Linked DNA regions of Mus musculus. The protein of the gene in region 2 interacts with the protein of the main gene of each other region in a biochemical or structural test. Links are inferred from orthologs where the notes say so. Each region holds a gene or a part of one and is shown on either strand. Other genes may lie near its edges.

Evidence for each region.
Region 1: of the proteins of Rnf8 (region 2) and H2ax, one has a biochemical effect on the other in vitro, tested with the Homo sapiens proteins (2 studies listed by BioGRID). The link is inferred for Mus musculus from reciprocal best matches to the Homo sapiens genes RNF8 and H2AX.

What each region holds. Positions count from the first base shown.
Region 1 is NC_000075.6:44,330,766-44,337,935, reverse strand, and holds H2ax (histone H2AX), read right to left. Parts: upstream 3,222-7,170; 5' UTR 3,175-3,221; coding exon 2,743-3,174; 3' UTR 1,859-2,742; downstream 1-1,858. Other genes in the region: Hmbs (porphobilinogen deaminase), read left to right, coding at 1-21, 246-284, 461-580, 765-818, 924-1,010, 1,091-1,264; Dpagt1 (UDP-N-acetylglucosamine--dolichyl-phosphate N-acetylglucosaminephosphotransferase), read right to left, coding at 4,814-4,879, 4,965-5,120, 5,286-5,373, 5,844-6,032, 6,734-6,818. UniProt on the Homo sapiens protein: Variant histone H2A which replaces conventional H2A in a subset of nucleosomes. Nucleosomes wrap and compact DNA into chromatin, limiting DNA accessibility to the cellular machineries which require DNA as a template.
Region 2 is NC_000083.6:29,633,470-29,640,921, forward strand, and holds part of Rnf8 (E3 ubiquitin-protein ligase RNF8), read left to right. Parts: intron 1-1,191; coding exon 1,192-1,299; intron 1,300-2,348; coding exon 2,349-2,553; intron 2,554-7,452. UniProt on the Homo sapiens protein: E3 ubiquitin-protein ligase that plays a key role in DNA damage signaling via 2 distinct roles: by mediating the 'Lys-63'-linked ubiquitination of histones H2A and H2AX and promoting the recruitment of DNA repair proteins at double-strand breaks (DSBs) sites, and by catalyzing 'Lys-48'-linked ubiquitination to remove target proteins from DNA damage sites.

The sequences.
Region 1 (7,170 bases), on a different chromosome or scaffold from region 2:
TGGCAGAACCGGGTGGGCCAGGTAGGAGCTGCCCTGTTCTGCTTCCCATTGAATCTGCCTCTCTCCTGCCTTGATTTCTTCCTGACCATTCTGCCAACAACACTACAACCAGAAGCCCAGGCTAGGGATATTGGGACTCATTGCTGGACTTCCTACCTGTGCCTTCCCCAGGCTTCCTAGATTGGCAAACCCTAGCTCACTGCCTTTGAACATCCCCTATCCCACCATCTTGTCTCTCTCCACAGATTTTGCACCCAGAAGAATGCATGTATGCTGTGGGTCAGGTAGGTTTGCCTGGAGAGAACCTGGTTCATAACCTTTGGCACCTGCTATCCATCAAATAAGATGTTTAGAGAGGGACAGGTTTGGTTGTTATGCATAAGACCCAGGGAAGCAGGTAGAGGTGTGTTTCTCATGCTTAGCTCTATTACTAGAGAAGATCAGGCCTGTTGTTCTTTAGGGAGCCCTAGCCGTGGAAGTCCGAGCCAAGGACCAGGATATCTTGGACCTAGTGAGTGTGTTGCACGATCCTGAAACTCTGCTTCGCTGCATTGCTGAAAGGGCTTTTCTGAGGCACCTGGTAAGATGGGCTCCTCCCATGGTGTTGTGGGGAAACCAGGAAGGGCAGTAGGGAGAGAGATTTGTCAAGTACTCAGTATGTAATGTTTTGTATGTATGGAGAGGACCTTGATCTGGCCCCTTGAGGTCTGTGGTCAAAAGTGGTGTTAAAGGCCCTTAGAGCTCAAAGGAACATATCATTGCAGGAAGGAGGCTGCAGCGTGCCCGTAGCAGTGCATACAGTGATGAAAGATGGGCAAGTAAGCCAGGGAAATGGATGAGGGGAGGGACTGTCATTTCCATGTGCACCGAAACATCTAAGTAACTTTCTTTAAATATCCTGGTACAAACATTTTATTTCCTAGCTGTACCTGACTGGTGGAGTCTGGAGTCTAGATGGCTCAGATAGCATGCAAGAGACTATGCAGGCCACCATCCAGGTCCCTGTTCAGGTATTGACTGGGAGATGAGGAAGGAATAAATAGAACTGCTTGTAATCTTCCTCTTACCAAAATTGTAACCTGTCATCCAGCAAGAAGATGGTCCAGAAGATGACCCACAACTGGTTGGAATCACTGCCCGTAACATTCCAAGAGGAGCCCAGCTAGCTGCTGAGAACCTGGGCATCAGCCTGGCCAGCTTGCTGCTCAACAAAGGAGCCAAGAACATCCTGGATGTTGCACGGCAGCTTAATGATGTGCGCTAACTGGTCTGTAGGGCACAGGAACCCTGGCTGCCACTCCACTGCCTACTTCTGGCTTCCAAGTGCCCTGTGCTCCATCCCTAGGGATGTGATTATCCCAGGAAATTGAACCACGGGGTTGTTGAGACTTCCACTTTGGAAGATATGCCTCACCTTGGGGCCTCCATATCTGCCTTTCCCTCAGTAGTTGGGGGCTTCATCTCTTTAGAGAAAGTCCATGCCAATCTTTGAATGTAACCAATACCACTAATAAACCAGTTTAGAATGTGGTTCTTCTGATAGAGTTGGGGAAGATATGAATAAACCCAAAGCCCTTTTAAACTTGAATTGAGTCTGAGACCTTTCTGTTGTAAAACACGCTGTGATTTGCCTCATGTTCTCAAAAAAAAAAAAAAAAAAAAAAAAAAAAAAAAATCAGCCTTCAATTCCTACAGCCTGTCTTCAGTCAACGGGATCTTCGTGGATTACATAGCCTTTCCCACTCCCACGGCCTGCAGAAAGGGAAGTCCCATTCTCTCCCAAGATGTGCCAGGCACATGGCTCTACCACGGAGCTATATGTCCAGCCCTGGGACTACAGCATTCAACATTAAACCACTTTTTTAAAAAAACAAAACCAAACGATCCTTTAATAAAATTAGCCCATTAAATCTCCCCACTTAAGGTTCTAAACTTGTAATAGCTGCAAAAGTTCCAGTTCAGAAGCCAGAGGCTCAGTCCAGACAGGGATTCACCGGCTTGTGCTGGTATCTAGGTGTTTGGGTTGTAGTTGAGTCGCTGGGGAAGAGGGGATGGATGGCTAGGCCCGGCTGCCAGTCGCCTGCGGCAGGTATAGAACTCTTGTCCACAGGCCGGTAAGCGTCTCTCTGACCCTTGCCGGGAGGTATTCCTAGAGAAACTGGGTTCACATTACAACCATTTTTGGCCCCGCCACACCACACTGGCCTACGAATGGCGACAGGGTCAACTGGTATGAGGCCAGCAACGGTGACACCGAAGGAAACAATGTGATCCATTTCTCCTCCTCTAAGCCCGGCAATCAAGTCACTTTTCAAAGGTCCAGGCGAGGGCTAAGCACCAAGCTGAAGCAAAGACGCCGGGGCTGTAGCTGCGGAGGGACTAACCTTCAAGCCCACCGCGGCCGGACGTCTGAGCGAGGGGCCGAGACTCCGGGAAGGCGCCGCAGCCTCTCCGCACGGAGCCGTCGTCCACAACCGAGAACGGCGAAGCGATGTCACGAGCTCCGGGATGGGCAGGTGCCGCGGCGCCCGCGTCCTCCGTGGCAGAACCGGAGGCCGTGCGGGGTAAGGGGAAGAGTGGCGCGAGGGCGGGGAGGGGAGAGGAGGGAAAGAGAAAGGATGGGGACGCGGCAAGCCGCCGCAGCCCGAAGTGGCTCAGCTCTTTCTGTGAGGGAGGTGGTGGCCCTTAAAAGGGCCTTTGTGGAGGTGTGGGGAGGGCTGGGCGGCCTCGGCGCGGGCCCCCTCAGTACTCCTGAGAGGCCTGCGAGGCCTTCTTGCCGACCGCCGGCGCCTTGGGCCCCACGGTGGCGCTGCTCTTCTTGGGCAGCAGCACGGCCTGGATGTTGGGCAGGACGCCGCCCTGCGCGATGGTCACGCCGCCCAGCAGCTTGTTGAGCTCCTCGTCGTTGCGGATGGCCAGCTGCAGGTGGCGCGGGATGATGCGCGTCTTCTTGTTGTCGCGGGCCGCGTTGCCCGCCAGCTCCAGGATCTCGGCAGTGAGGTACTCGAGCACCGCTGCCAGGTACACCGGCGCGCCTGCGCCCACGCGCTCGGCGTAGTGGCCTTTCCGCAGCAGCCGGTGTACGCGGCCTACAGGGAACTGAAGGCCGGCGCGTGAAGAGCGCGACTTGGCCTTGGCGCGGGCCTTGCCGCCGGTCTTGCCGCGTCCGGACATAGTGTACGAGGTAGAAGAGCTGCGAACAACGCTGAGAGACCACGAACTACCAACCGCCGCAGTCAACGGTCGCCTGGCCGGCCAAGCCCGGCCTTATAAACTCCCTGGACACGCCCCCGCTTCCTCCTGATTGGTTCCTTTTTTAATACCCACCTCTGGTTGGTTGCAATTAACCCTTCGGTGACGCGCCTTAGCTGAGAGAACGCGCCCAGTGATTGGTCCAATTTGAAAACCTTTTACCCGGGGAAGAAGACAAGGCGGAGTGGCCGCAAGCCGGAGGCTGCTCACCCCTGGAAATGGCCAATCCGTGTAGAGCGCGCGAAATTTAAACGCTACGGCGCGACAACAAAACCTGAAGACTAGAAGGGTGGAGCTTGGAGCTACCTCTACAGTTTCTGGGAAATTTGAGTCGGTCTTTGGTCTTAAAGGAAAAGGGTCTACACTATAAGCAGCGTTCTCCTTCCAGGTTAGAGCACTTCCCACTCCCTCCTCTAATCTGGTAGACGGAGGGTTTATTTGTTCATTATTATTTTTAGGTTTGTTTGTTTGTTTTTCGAGACAGGGTTTCTCTGTGTAGCCCTGGCTGTCCTGGAACTCACTCTGTAGACCAGGCTGGCCTTGAATTCAGAGATCCGCCTGCCTCTGCCTCCCAAGCCTGAGGATTAAAGGCGTGCGCCACCACCATCTGGCTTTTGTTTGTTTGAGACAGGGTTTCTCTGAGTAGCCCTGCCTGTCCTGGAACTCAGAGATCAGCCTGCCTCTGCCTCCCTAGTGCAGATTAAAGGGAGGGAGGGTTTAAAAGAAACGAAATGAAACCTCCTAGGAGTTTAATCCTATGCCAGAAAATGGAGCACTGTGATCTTTTATGCTATCACAAGTTTGTGCTGCGATATTTATTCAACATGTTCTGTCTGGTCTTAGTTTGTGACAGGCCTTTTTTGCAAGAAAGGGTCTGATGGAACAGAGATCGGTATCCTATTGGGAAAGGTACCCGGTCTAACCCTTCCAATCTATCCTAAAATGCCTATATAAAAAATAAATATACCAGACTTGGCATATAGTTCAGTGGTAGAGCAGTTAAGTATAAGGAAGCCCCGGTGTTCACTCCTGAAGCACCACGAAGGTTAAAAAGGACAGAGGGAGGGGATGCTACACTAGAGGAACAAGTAAAAGGCAGTCCTTTATTGTCACCGTTCTGAGCACATGGCCCTGCCTCTACGCTTCCCAATCACAACACTTCATTTGATAGTCAAATGTGAGGTCACCTTGGAGTATGTAGCCCTAACTCTAGCCCTAGCCCAGGTTCTCTCTCAAGGCTCAGGTGAATTCCTTTAGAGTTAGCGCTCTGAAAGCTGAGCTACGAATATTTGCATAATAGAGGCTACAAGCCCACCTGGTGAGGCTGCAGATGGGACAGAAAGGGAGGGCAAGGCAAGATGAAAGCCCTAGGCAAAGTCCAACTAGCGGACTTCAAGTCCAGCAAGGTGTCCATCCAGGATATCAGTAGTCACAGATGGCAGAAGCTGAGAACAAAAGTGTCAGCGAGGCCTGGACCAGAGGGTCATCTCGGACCAGACAGAGGCTGGTCCTGGCTGAGGTCCAATGGAGACTGTGAGGTAAAGGGCAGCTGTCAGGGAGCTCAGACATCATAGAAGAGTCGGACGAGTTGGTAACGAATGGAGAAGGTGGCGGCGCTGCTTAGGACCTGGGAGAAGTGGACTGGAATTAGAAGCAAGGCCAACCAGAGATGTAAACGCCATGGCATTACTAAGCCCCACCCTGAGCTGTACCTGCAGGAGCAGCAGGAGCAGGGTGAGGTTTCTCTCATGTATAGGCCCAAAGACTTTAAGTAGCAAGTTGATGAGGGTCATGTTGTTACACTCAGTGAAGGCACCGTCCTCACTCTCACCTTGGTGAACTGTCACTAACCGGAGGTTCTCTGCTACCTGCAGGGACCAGAGGTGAAGATGACTTCAGTTATGCAGATCTACTTCACGAATAGGGATCTTCTTGATGTTCCCAAACTCCCCTTGGGCCTGAAAAGGCCTAGGTTTCTCTTTTCCCAAGTTAAGGATGGCGGCCTCGGGCCTTACCTCCTGTTACCTTGTTACCTTTAAAATAAAGGTGCCCAGGAAAGAGAGGTTCTTGGTCTTGAACTTGGAATAGCTCATTTCCAGTTTGCCTGTCTTTGCGTTGAGTCTGCAATGGGAAGATAATTTCATTTGACTGAATCAGAGACCTCTGCACCCTGGTTACTAAGAAGAGTACTGAGGCCGGGCGTGATGGCGCACACCTTTGATCCCAGCACTCAGGAGGCAGAGGCAGGCGGATTTCTGAGTTCAAGGCCAGCCTGGTCTACAAAGTGAGTTCCAGGACAGCCAGGGCTATAAGGAGAAACCCTGTCTTGAAAAACCAAAAAAAAAAAAAAAAAAAAAAAAAAAAGAGTACTGAGTACTTATGTACTGGAGTTGGTTTCTGGCTCCGTGATCAGGGCTGTTGTAAGCATTACATACTATGTAAGTAAACGAGCTTCGTAAATTACAATGGGCTACCCACATACAGTCGGCTCATCTTTCCCCTCATGTTTTTTTTACATAGGAAATGCAAGTTGGCTTTAGCTATCCCAAGTCAGAAACTATTATGACCCTTGAAAGCCCCAGAGTGGTTACCTGGGCATCCGGTGTCGAGGGCAGGGGATGATATGGAAGAGCTGAGGCAGTGAGTAGAGGAAATTGAATACTTGTGGCATAAAGAAGAGCAGCATGGTCTTGCTGAAGTGTCCCAAGATCCCCACCACGGCAAAAGTCATGCCCGCAAAGTAACAGAAGGTGTCTCCCACAAACACGCGGGACGGGTACCTGTGTGGGAGAGAGGATTTCAGCCAATGGCAAGAGTTGTTACTGACTCTTTCTTTCAGTCACTCGCTCTGAGTAACAGGCCAGCCTTGACCCTGAGTTCTAAAAGAAAGGCTGTTCCAGAAACTCTATAGGCCCCACGGCCCCCAACTCATCTACTCCTAGGGGCTACACAGCATTTGTTCCCAACTCCTGCAGGATAGGCAGGGATTCCACACCAGCACCAGGCTGCTCTGTAGCTCACCGGGCAAGCAGTCACCTAGCGAGTACAAGGTCATGGATTTGATCCCCAGCACGAGGGTGTGCAGATGGTGGGGTGAAGGGTGGGATCTAATAGCACATGCCTGTATTTCTAGGCCAGCCTGACAACACCGTAAGTTCAAGGCCAGCCTGGGCAACTTACTAAAACCCTATTCTCAAAAAAAAAAAAAAAAAAAAGTCTGGGGATACAGCTAAAATCTAAAGTGCTTGCTTAGCATTAAGACCTCAGATTTAATACCCTGTTCATAAACACAAACACACACACACACCAGACGAGTGCTTGTGCTCACACAAGAGTGGCAAACTACTACCAATGGCAGAGCCAGAGAATATCCAACAAAAGTATGAGCAATTTTAGTCTCTTCATTAGAAGCTGGGTTATGTCAAGCCCATCTCTGCCACATACATCAATCATTTCCTCTCTCATCCATAGGCCTACATACCAGTTGTGGTAAAGCAGTCCCAAGGTGGTAAAGAAAAATGGTATCATGAAGTAAAGGGAAAAGATATGATCATCTCGATAATCACCTTTGGAGCAAAGCAAACAGAAGGGAGTCAGTACCGGCATCCCGCTGTGTACCTTGGTCTCATTTGTATCTAATTTATGTTCCCAGCCATTAGGAACACAGCACCCAAGTCACTTTCAAGACCAACTCTACCCCACCCTGCCACTGCTGCTCCCTGACTTCCTATGTAGCCAAGTCTGGCGGGCACCTCCCATGTGCTGGGATGACAGGTGTTTGCCACCGTGCCCAGCTCTAACTTCCCCTTTCACATCACCCAGGCCATTCCCGATACTCTCATTACTTTCATTGACCTATAAAAAAAAAAAAAAAGCTAACAACAGACTAGAAAGATGGCTCAATGATTAACAGCACTA
Region 2 (7,452 bases):
TATCTATAACTCTAGTTTTAGAAAATCTGGGGATCCAACCTCTCCACCAGTGCACATACATGTGCACAGTCATACATACAAAACACCCATATACATAAAACAAATCTTAAAAAGAAAGAGCATCTCAGAGATCATGGCTTTAGCCTGGATCTTCCTCCTCTGTGTGACTTAGTAGTTTTGATTAGAAGAGAAAAAGACAAAAAGAGCCAACTGCTCAGATGTAATTTGAGTGGCTTTTCCTCTTTGTCTTGAACTCCTGTTGCTTCCTGTTTGGGGGGTGAAGACATAACTAATTTTCAACGTAAAGAGCATAGGTAGGGTCCTTCCTAACAGCAAGCCCACGGGTGTCCTCACCTAACAGTAAGCCCACGGGTGTCCTGACCTCACGGTGTCCTGACCTTGGGGATAGAGGGGAACAGAAGCAGGAGGTGGCAAGCGTCGGAGGGTTGGACTTGTTTCCAGCCATGGCTGGGGGTGGGGGTTGGGGGGATAGGAGAGATGGGTATTCTTCTGTCCTCAGAGACAGCTGCTAACTACACCAGGGACTGTACACTCACTCAGGCCCCTGCCTCTAGAGTGATCTACCTCTCTCGTCCTGTGAAACTATAGTTTTGGGGAAAAGTTTTTAGCACTCAGGTTGTGACTTGCTAGTACCAAGCCCCCACCTTGGCTATTCGTGGAAAGGAACAAATTGCATATAGAGCACATACCGAGAAAGTAGGGTTTAGTTCCTCCAGGCCGCTGCAGCTAAAACACTGTGAATCGGGCAGCTAATGAGCAACAGCAATGTATCTTCCAAAGTTCTGCAGGCCTAGGAGTCCTGGAAGGCACTGGCAGATGAGGCTGGAGTCTGGCAAGGACATAATTTTGGTCCTCAGCTGCTATTTCTTCACACGGAGAAGAGCAGAACCAGCCTCTGCAGCCTTGGTTCTGAACCACTCATCCTGTCCTGCCCATCCTCCTAGCAACCTCAAGGCTTCTCCTAACTGTCAGCAGGTTAGCATTGAGCACACGGGGATGGGGTAGGCAGGGAGCCAGCTTCTGTGTCAGGAGGCAACTCTTGGGAAAGGGTGCTCACAGGGAGAGTTCCATCCTTGCACAGGCGCCTGATCACACCGCGCTCCGCCAGCCTTGCTCCCGGCCTGTCCTGCATTCTGCGGTTTCCCTGTGACTGTGGTGTTGTCTTTGCAGGAAGAAAAGGACAAGGTGCAAGCGCAGAAGGAGGAGGTTCTCAGCCACATGAACGACTTGCTGGAGAACGAGCTCCAGTGCATTATCTGCTCGGAGTACTTTATTGAGGTAAGTGTGCGGTGCTCACCCCCACCCTGGTGCACCGGCCTCTGGCACCAGGGGATCATTCTTTAGACAAGACTCGGTCCTCACTGTGCTGCCCCTCCTTAGACACTTACATGCACAGTTACCGTTTAACTGCAGTGAAACTCCGGGGGCCACTGAGCCTGAGGGTTTGAAGTGTTGGGAATATAACTGCCCACTGCTGCTGCTGTTCCTTTCCTCTGGGTGGGCACGGCGCGCTGTGTGGACTTGTGGTTTGGCTTTGAAGCAGAGTAGTGAGTGCCATTGATTGTGTGGTCACTGTGGGTATCAGGCACCAGAATGAATTTATTTCATGGCTTTGTGGGTCCTTTTGAAAAGCAAACACCCAGCCAGGCATGATGGCCCACGCCTTTAATCCCAGCACTCGGGAAGCAGAGGCAGGCCGATTTCTGAGTTCGAGGCCAGCCTGGTCTACAAGGTGAGTGCCAGGACAGCCAGGGCTACACAGAGAAACCCTGTCTGGAAAGAACCAAACCAAAAAAAAAAAAAAAAAAAAAAAAAAGATAAGCAAACACCTGTCTCCTAGGCTACCGTTTGTTACTTCGCCATGTTATCACACCAGCTATTTTAATTTTCATACATTTTCGTACCATTTGTAACCAATTCATTTTATGCTAAGTGTTACGCTTATACAGTTGAGTAGCAGGTGAGTTTTAGTCTTTTTTACACCTTTGGAAAGGAAGATGGGTGTGCAGAGAGACTGCTGTTCCCAAGCAGCCCCTAGGAAGATTGGGTGTGTCTGCCTCCTGCGGAAAGACCAGGTCTGTGACTGGAGTCACTTTGGCTGCCACTTTGGCTGCAAGTCATTCCCAGCGTAGTCTCCAGTCTGATGGGTTGCTTAGGACTGTGGGAACTGGAGGGGAGTGGGAGGAAAGGGAGGCAGAACCGGGTGCTGAGCCAGCCGGAGCAGAGCGGAGCCTCTGTGAGGCGGGGCTGTGGTGAGTCTGCCTGTGGGCCTGGGAGATTCGCTCTGTTGTGCTTGAGAAAGTAAGAGTGTCCCTTTCACATTGCAGGCTGTCACCCTGAACTGTGCCCACAGTTTCTGCTCCTTCTGTATCAATGAATGGATGAAACGGAAAGTAGAGTGTCCCATTTGTCGAAAGGACATTGAGTCCAGAACCAACTCCCTGGTTCTGGACAACTGCATTAGTAAGATGGTGGATAACCTAAGCTCAGACGTGAAGGAAAGAAGAAGTGTCCTTATTAGGGAACGGAGAGGTGAGTGGCTCTGAACTCCTACTCCCTGACAAAGGGCTTCCTTACTTAGCTACAGCAGGCGTTTTTACAGGGTGAAGTTGGACAATAGAGTTTAGTAAATGTTTTTGGAGTACAGGCAGGAGAAATGGGAGTATCTGCAGAGTTCAGGTAGCCCGCATAGGAAAGAACCGAATTAGAGTTAGTCTCTGTTGTTTGAGCTCCACCTGGTAGGTGTGTTCCCGCTTGCTCTGGAGCAAAAAGCTGGGCCAGAAAACAGTCAAATGGTTTGCTGTCTGCACACCAGGTGGTGCTGTTGCTGAAGGCAGCCGGCCAGTTAGAGATGGAAATACATACATAAGCTCTGTAAGGGCTTAGGGCTGGGGTGTAGTCAGCCACAAAGCCCTGGGTTCAGTCCCTAGCACCACTATTCACACACACACATTATTGCGTCCTGGTGGGTTTGATAACACATCTCCAGTCAGGGGACTTGGGGTGAGAAGATTGGGGAAGGGATGGCAAGTGTTCCTGAACTGTCCCTCCTAGTGAATATCTGTCCATTTAAGTCAGTGGTTCTCAACATCCCTAATGCTGCAACCCTTTAAAGTAGTCCCTCTTGTTGTGACTGACAACCATAAAATTAATTTGGTTACCACTCCATAACCATCTGTACGTTTGCTACTGTTATGAATCACAATGTAAATATCTGTTTCTGGTGGTCTTTGGGGGTCGTGCCCACAGGTTGAGAACCGCTGGTTTAAGTGATGCTGCCACACTAGGGGCTTGCTGTGTTAATGCCGCAGAAAGCCACTCCTTCATGTTGCAGCAGAAGATTCTTGGTGCAGAACAAGGAAGCTGCTGGGTATTGCATAGAGAGCCATGGCACAAGAGGCGGGGTGTCCATGGCCGTCGTGTTCTGTTGCTACCTTCTGGGAATTGGAAATTAACTCAGCTCCTGTCTGTGATGCTGTCACATGACCGGTGTGTGGGGGTTGGGTGGGGGTGGGGTGGCCTGGTTATACTCCTGAGCTGAGAGATGCTGGGCAGCATAGAGGCCAGATGCTGGTCATAGCAGTCGAGTGGCCCTACAGGAACCAGCTTTTCCAGGTAGGGACAGGGATCTGTTGCTGACACATGTGCATCCATAGTGTGAGACTGGGCTGGGTGCTGTGGATGCCGAGTGGGAAGGGTTCCTGGCTAGGAGTGTGAGCTGACCCTTGACGTGTGTGCTTGCTGCTTTCCTGATACCTGCTAGAGTATTTTGCTCAGTTTAGAGTCTCTATAAGTTTTACCTCTGCCCTTGGTTCTGGCAGAAGCCCATTGCTCTTCATTTCCACCTGTATTTCCATAGGAACATGACACTAGCCCTGGGAAGAGAGAGAGCATCTCACTTCCTCTCACGCTTACCTGAAGGTGTTGTGTGGCTTCAGAGGAAGGACCGCTTACGTGGGTCTGGGCAGGTGGAGATGAGAGAGGATCCTGTAGAGGAAGCCATGTTTATGCCAAGCCTTACAGCTTTCTGGTTGCTTGCTTTCCAAGCCAAGAACATGACACAGTTTGCAGAACAGCCAAAACTGGGAGGGGCCTGCCAATGGCTTGCTTCTGTCTTCCTGGGAGTCAGATTAGATAAGGAGCAGGCTATGACTTTTGAGCGGAAGTGTGTTGTCTGGGTCAGGGTGGGATGCCTATGAGAGTTTCTTTTTTCTTTTTCTTTTTTTTTTAAGATTTATTTATTTATTTATTTATTTATTTATTTATGTAAGTAAACTGTAGCTGTCTTCAGACACACCAGAAGAGGGTATCAGATCTCATTAAGAATGGTTGTAAGCCACTATGTGCTGGGATTTGAACTCAGGACCTCTGAAGAGCAGTCAGTGCTCTTAACCACTGAGCCATCTCTCCAGCCCCCCCCCCCCCCCCAGGAGAATTTCTTTGCCCAGCCTATGTTGTTGTTCAGCTGATGACTGGAAGAGCCCAAGTCCGTCTCTGTCCTCTTATGGAGAGTCACTTGCATAGACTAAGGACCACAGTCCCTCCTCCCTTCTCTGCAGAGGCTAAGCAGGCTATCCCTGGGCGCCTCTGGAAAGAGGAGTGACTGTTCAGGAAACCACGCCCTGTTGCACACCCTGATCGCAGCATGTCTGGCAGCCAGTTCTCACCGCAAGTGCAGCTTTGCGACCCGTTCTTTAGACAGGCAGAAGGTTCTGTGCCTTGATTTAGGAAAAGATGTACCAGAGCCACCAGCAGCGTTGTTGGGCTGCAGTCTGGGGGCCAGCTCTCTGTGAGTGTTCAGCTCTCTGTGAGTGTTCTGGCTGCAGTGTGGGGGCCAGCTCTCTGTGAGTGTTCTGGTGCCATTTGAAGGCTGGTTTATTCCTTAGTGCGTGGGAATTTCTAAAAAGAACTTAGGATCTGGAATGGAAGAGTGTTCAGTGGTCAAGAGTACTTTCTGCTCTTCCAGAGGACTGTGTTCAATTCCTAGCACCCACATGCTGGCTTACAACTGCCTGTAACTCCAAAGGGATCTGACATGTTTTGGCTGTTTTAGGCACCAAGAATGCACATGGTGTGCATATATGTGTAGGTAAAACACCCTTACATATAAATACAACAAACCAAGCGAATACACAAAGAACGCAGGCTCTGTGTTTGGGCAAGGGTTTGGTTGATTCTCACGCAGATGTCCTGTGCTCTCCAAAAGCAGGGCCTTCCTCAGCTTCCCTGACTGTAGGTTTAGGTCCCAGTGGGAGCAGCACCTCCTGACTGGTTAGCTGTTGGGGGTGGGGGATAGTAGGAGGCTGGATTAAAGCAGGATTAAAGAAGCATGCCTTGCAGGTGGGGTAAATAGCACATTCAAATGCCACATTTGTACCAGGGTCACTGTGGCTGGCTGTGTAAGGGGTCACTGTGGCAGGCACCTTCTGAAGGAAAGGGTTGAAATTCCCCGTGGGGAGATGGTAAGGGGAGGGCCATTCTTGTCAGATTCTCCCTCCCCTGTTTTCTCTGCTCCCCTTAGATTAACTATGTTCACACAGTTTCCCCAGCCGTGTCTCCTCCCCTTTTCCTCCAGGTTTTGTGGTGGTTGTAGGGTGGGTTTGAGAGGCCAGCCTGAAACTCAGAGCCCTCCTCCCTCTGGACTTCCCAAGTGTTGGGGTCTTAGGCTTGAGGTGCTGTGCTCAACTCCCCTGAGTTTCGAAAATGAAGGAAGCGGGGCTGGAGACAGCTGGAGGGTTGGGGTCTTCACCCTGCATGGGAGGAGAGGCATAGGAACCCAAACGATCTGCAGGTGAATTGTTCTTTCTTTCTCAGCTCTGGCTCCTACAGACTGCATCCTCCCAACCCTCCTCCCCCACCCCTGTTCCCTTGCTATTGTAACACTAAGTTGAAGCTCTTGATGAATGTATGTGGAGAGAAGGCACCGTGAATCTGTGAGTTGGGCTGTTCTGAGTTGAAGGCTCCTAGGAAGATCCACCTTGCCTGTGACTTCAGCCACCCCTGTTTAGCTAAAGGAAGGTGGTGTAGAGAACAGAGAACCAGCAAGGGTCCCAGACTCCAGACAGGTCTATCCGCTCCCCTGGAAGTGTATCTGATGTTGCCCAGCTCCTTTCTTAGAAGCCAGCCTTGACAGGATTGCTTGGTGGGTCAGCAGCCTTCAGACTGATGAAGAACTCACCGGAGAGAGTGTTAGATTGCAGACTCTGAGCCCTGTCCTGAGACTGCTGTTTACCCAAAATCAACGTGTAGGGTATGGACTGTGTGCCCAAGGAAACGGCTCAGCAAACTTGCACTCAAGGACTGGGATTGTTTATGGAGGTAGGGTCTGCTGTGTAGACCAAGCTAACCTCTAACTCAAAGAGATCTACCTGTCTCAGCCTCCCCTAGTGCCACCATGCCCAGATGGACGGTTTTGATTTTTTTTTTTTTTAATTTTTTTGTTTTGTTTTGTTTTGTTTGTTTTTCGAGACAGGGTTTCTCTGTACAGCCTTGGCTGTCCTAGAACTCACTTTGTAGACCAGGCTGTCCTTGAACTAAGAAGTCTGCCTGCCTCTGCCTCCCAAGTGCTGGGATTAAAGGTGTGCACCACCACTGCCCGGCTTGTTTTTGACTTTTTAAAAAATTTATACTTTGCAAAATTATTGCTAGGTAAGAGTTAACAGACGTTACTAGACGTATTTGTCTGGTTTCTTCATTAAAGTAAGAGTTGTCTTCTTGAATTCCTTTCTCTTTTCCTCCTTATTGAGAGCTCAAATACAGTTAGAGATGACAGGAAGGCTGGGGGATGGCAGAGTCCTCACAAGATGAGAACTCAAGTCTGACTCCCAGAGTCAATTAAGCTGGGCATAGTGGAACTTAAAATCCCAGCGTTGGGTAGTGGAGATGGGCATGTCCTTGAGTCTTGCTGGGAGCTTCCTCAGTCGGCCTCAGGCCATGGTGTAAGAAAGACTGTCTCAAAGAACCAGGTGGACAGCTGAGGAGAGACACTTAGGCACTGAGAGAGTTGACCAGCCTCCCCTCTCATGCACAGACACATGTCTCCCCTCAGGCTTACACACCGGTGGGAGTGTCTGCGTCCAGGGTGTATATAGTGGTAGCATCACAGGAACTGGTAGAGAAAGCACTGTGCTGTGGCGGTCAGCTCTGGGGCTGTGTGGACTGCATGAACTAGTGACCCAGAAAGTACCGGCACCTCCGGCTTCTTGCCAGTCTGTAGTCCCTGTGATCGCAAACAGGTATGAGAGCTGACTTAGTGACCTGTAGTGAGAGCTCTTTGCCATGTCATCAGAAGCTGCCATCTGTTTGGAAGCACCCAGGAGAGCTTTCCCAGCTGAGAAGACTGGCCTTCCCAAGTGATGTCAGTCCTCTTCTGTCCAAAGAGAGAACCGGGTGTTCAAGAACAGGCAGTGGGATGACCTTGAATGTAGGCCC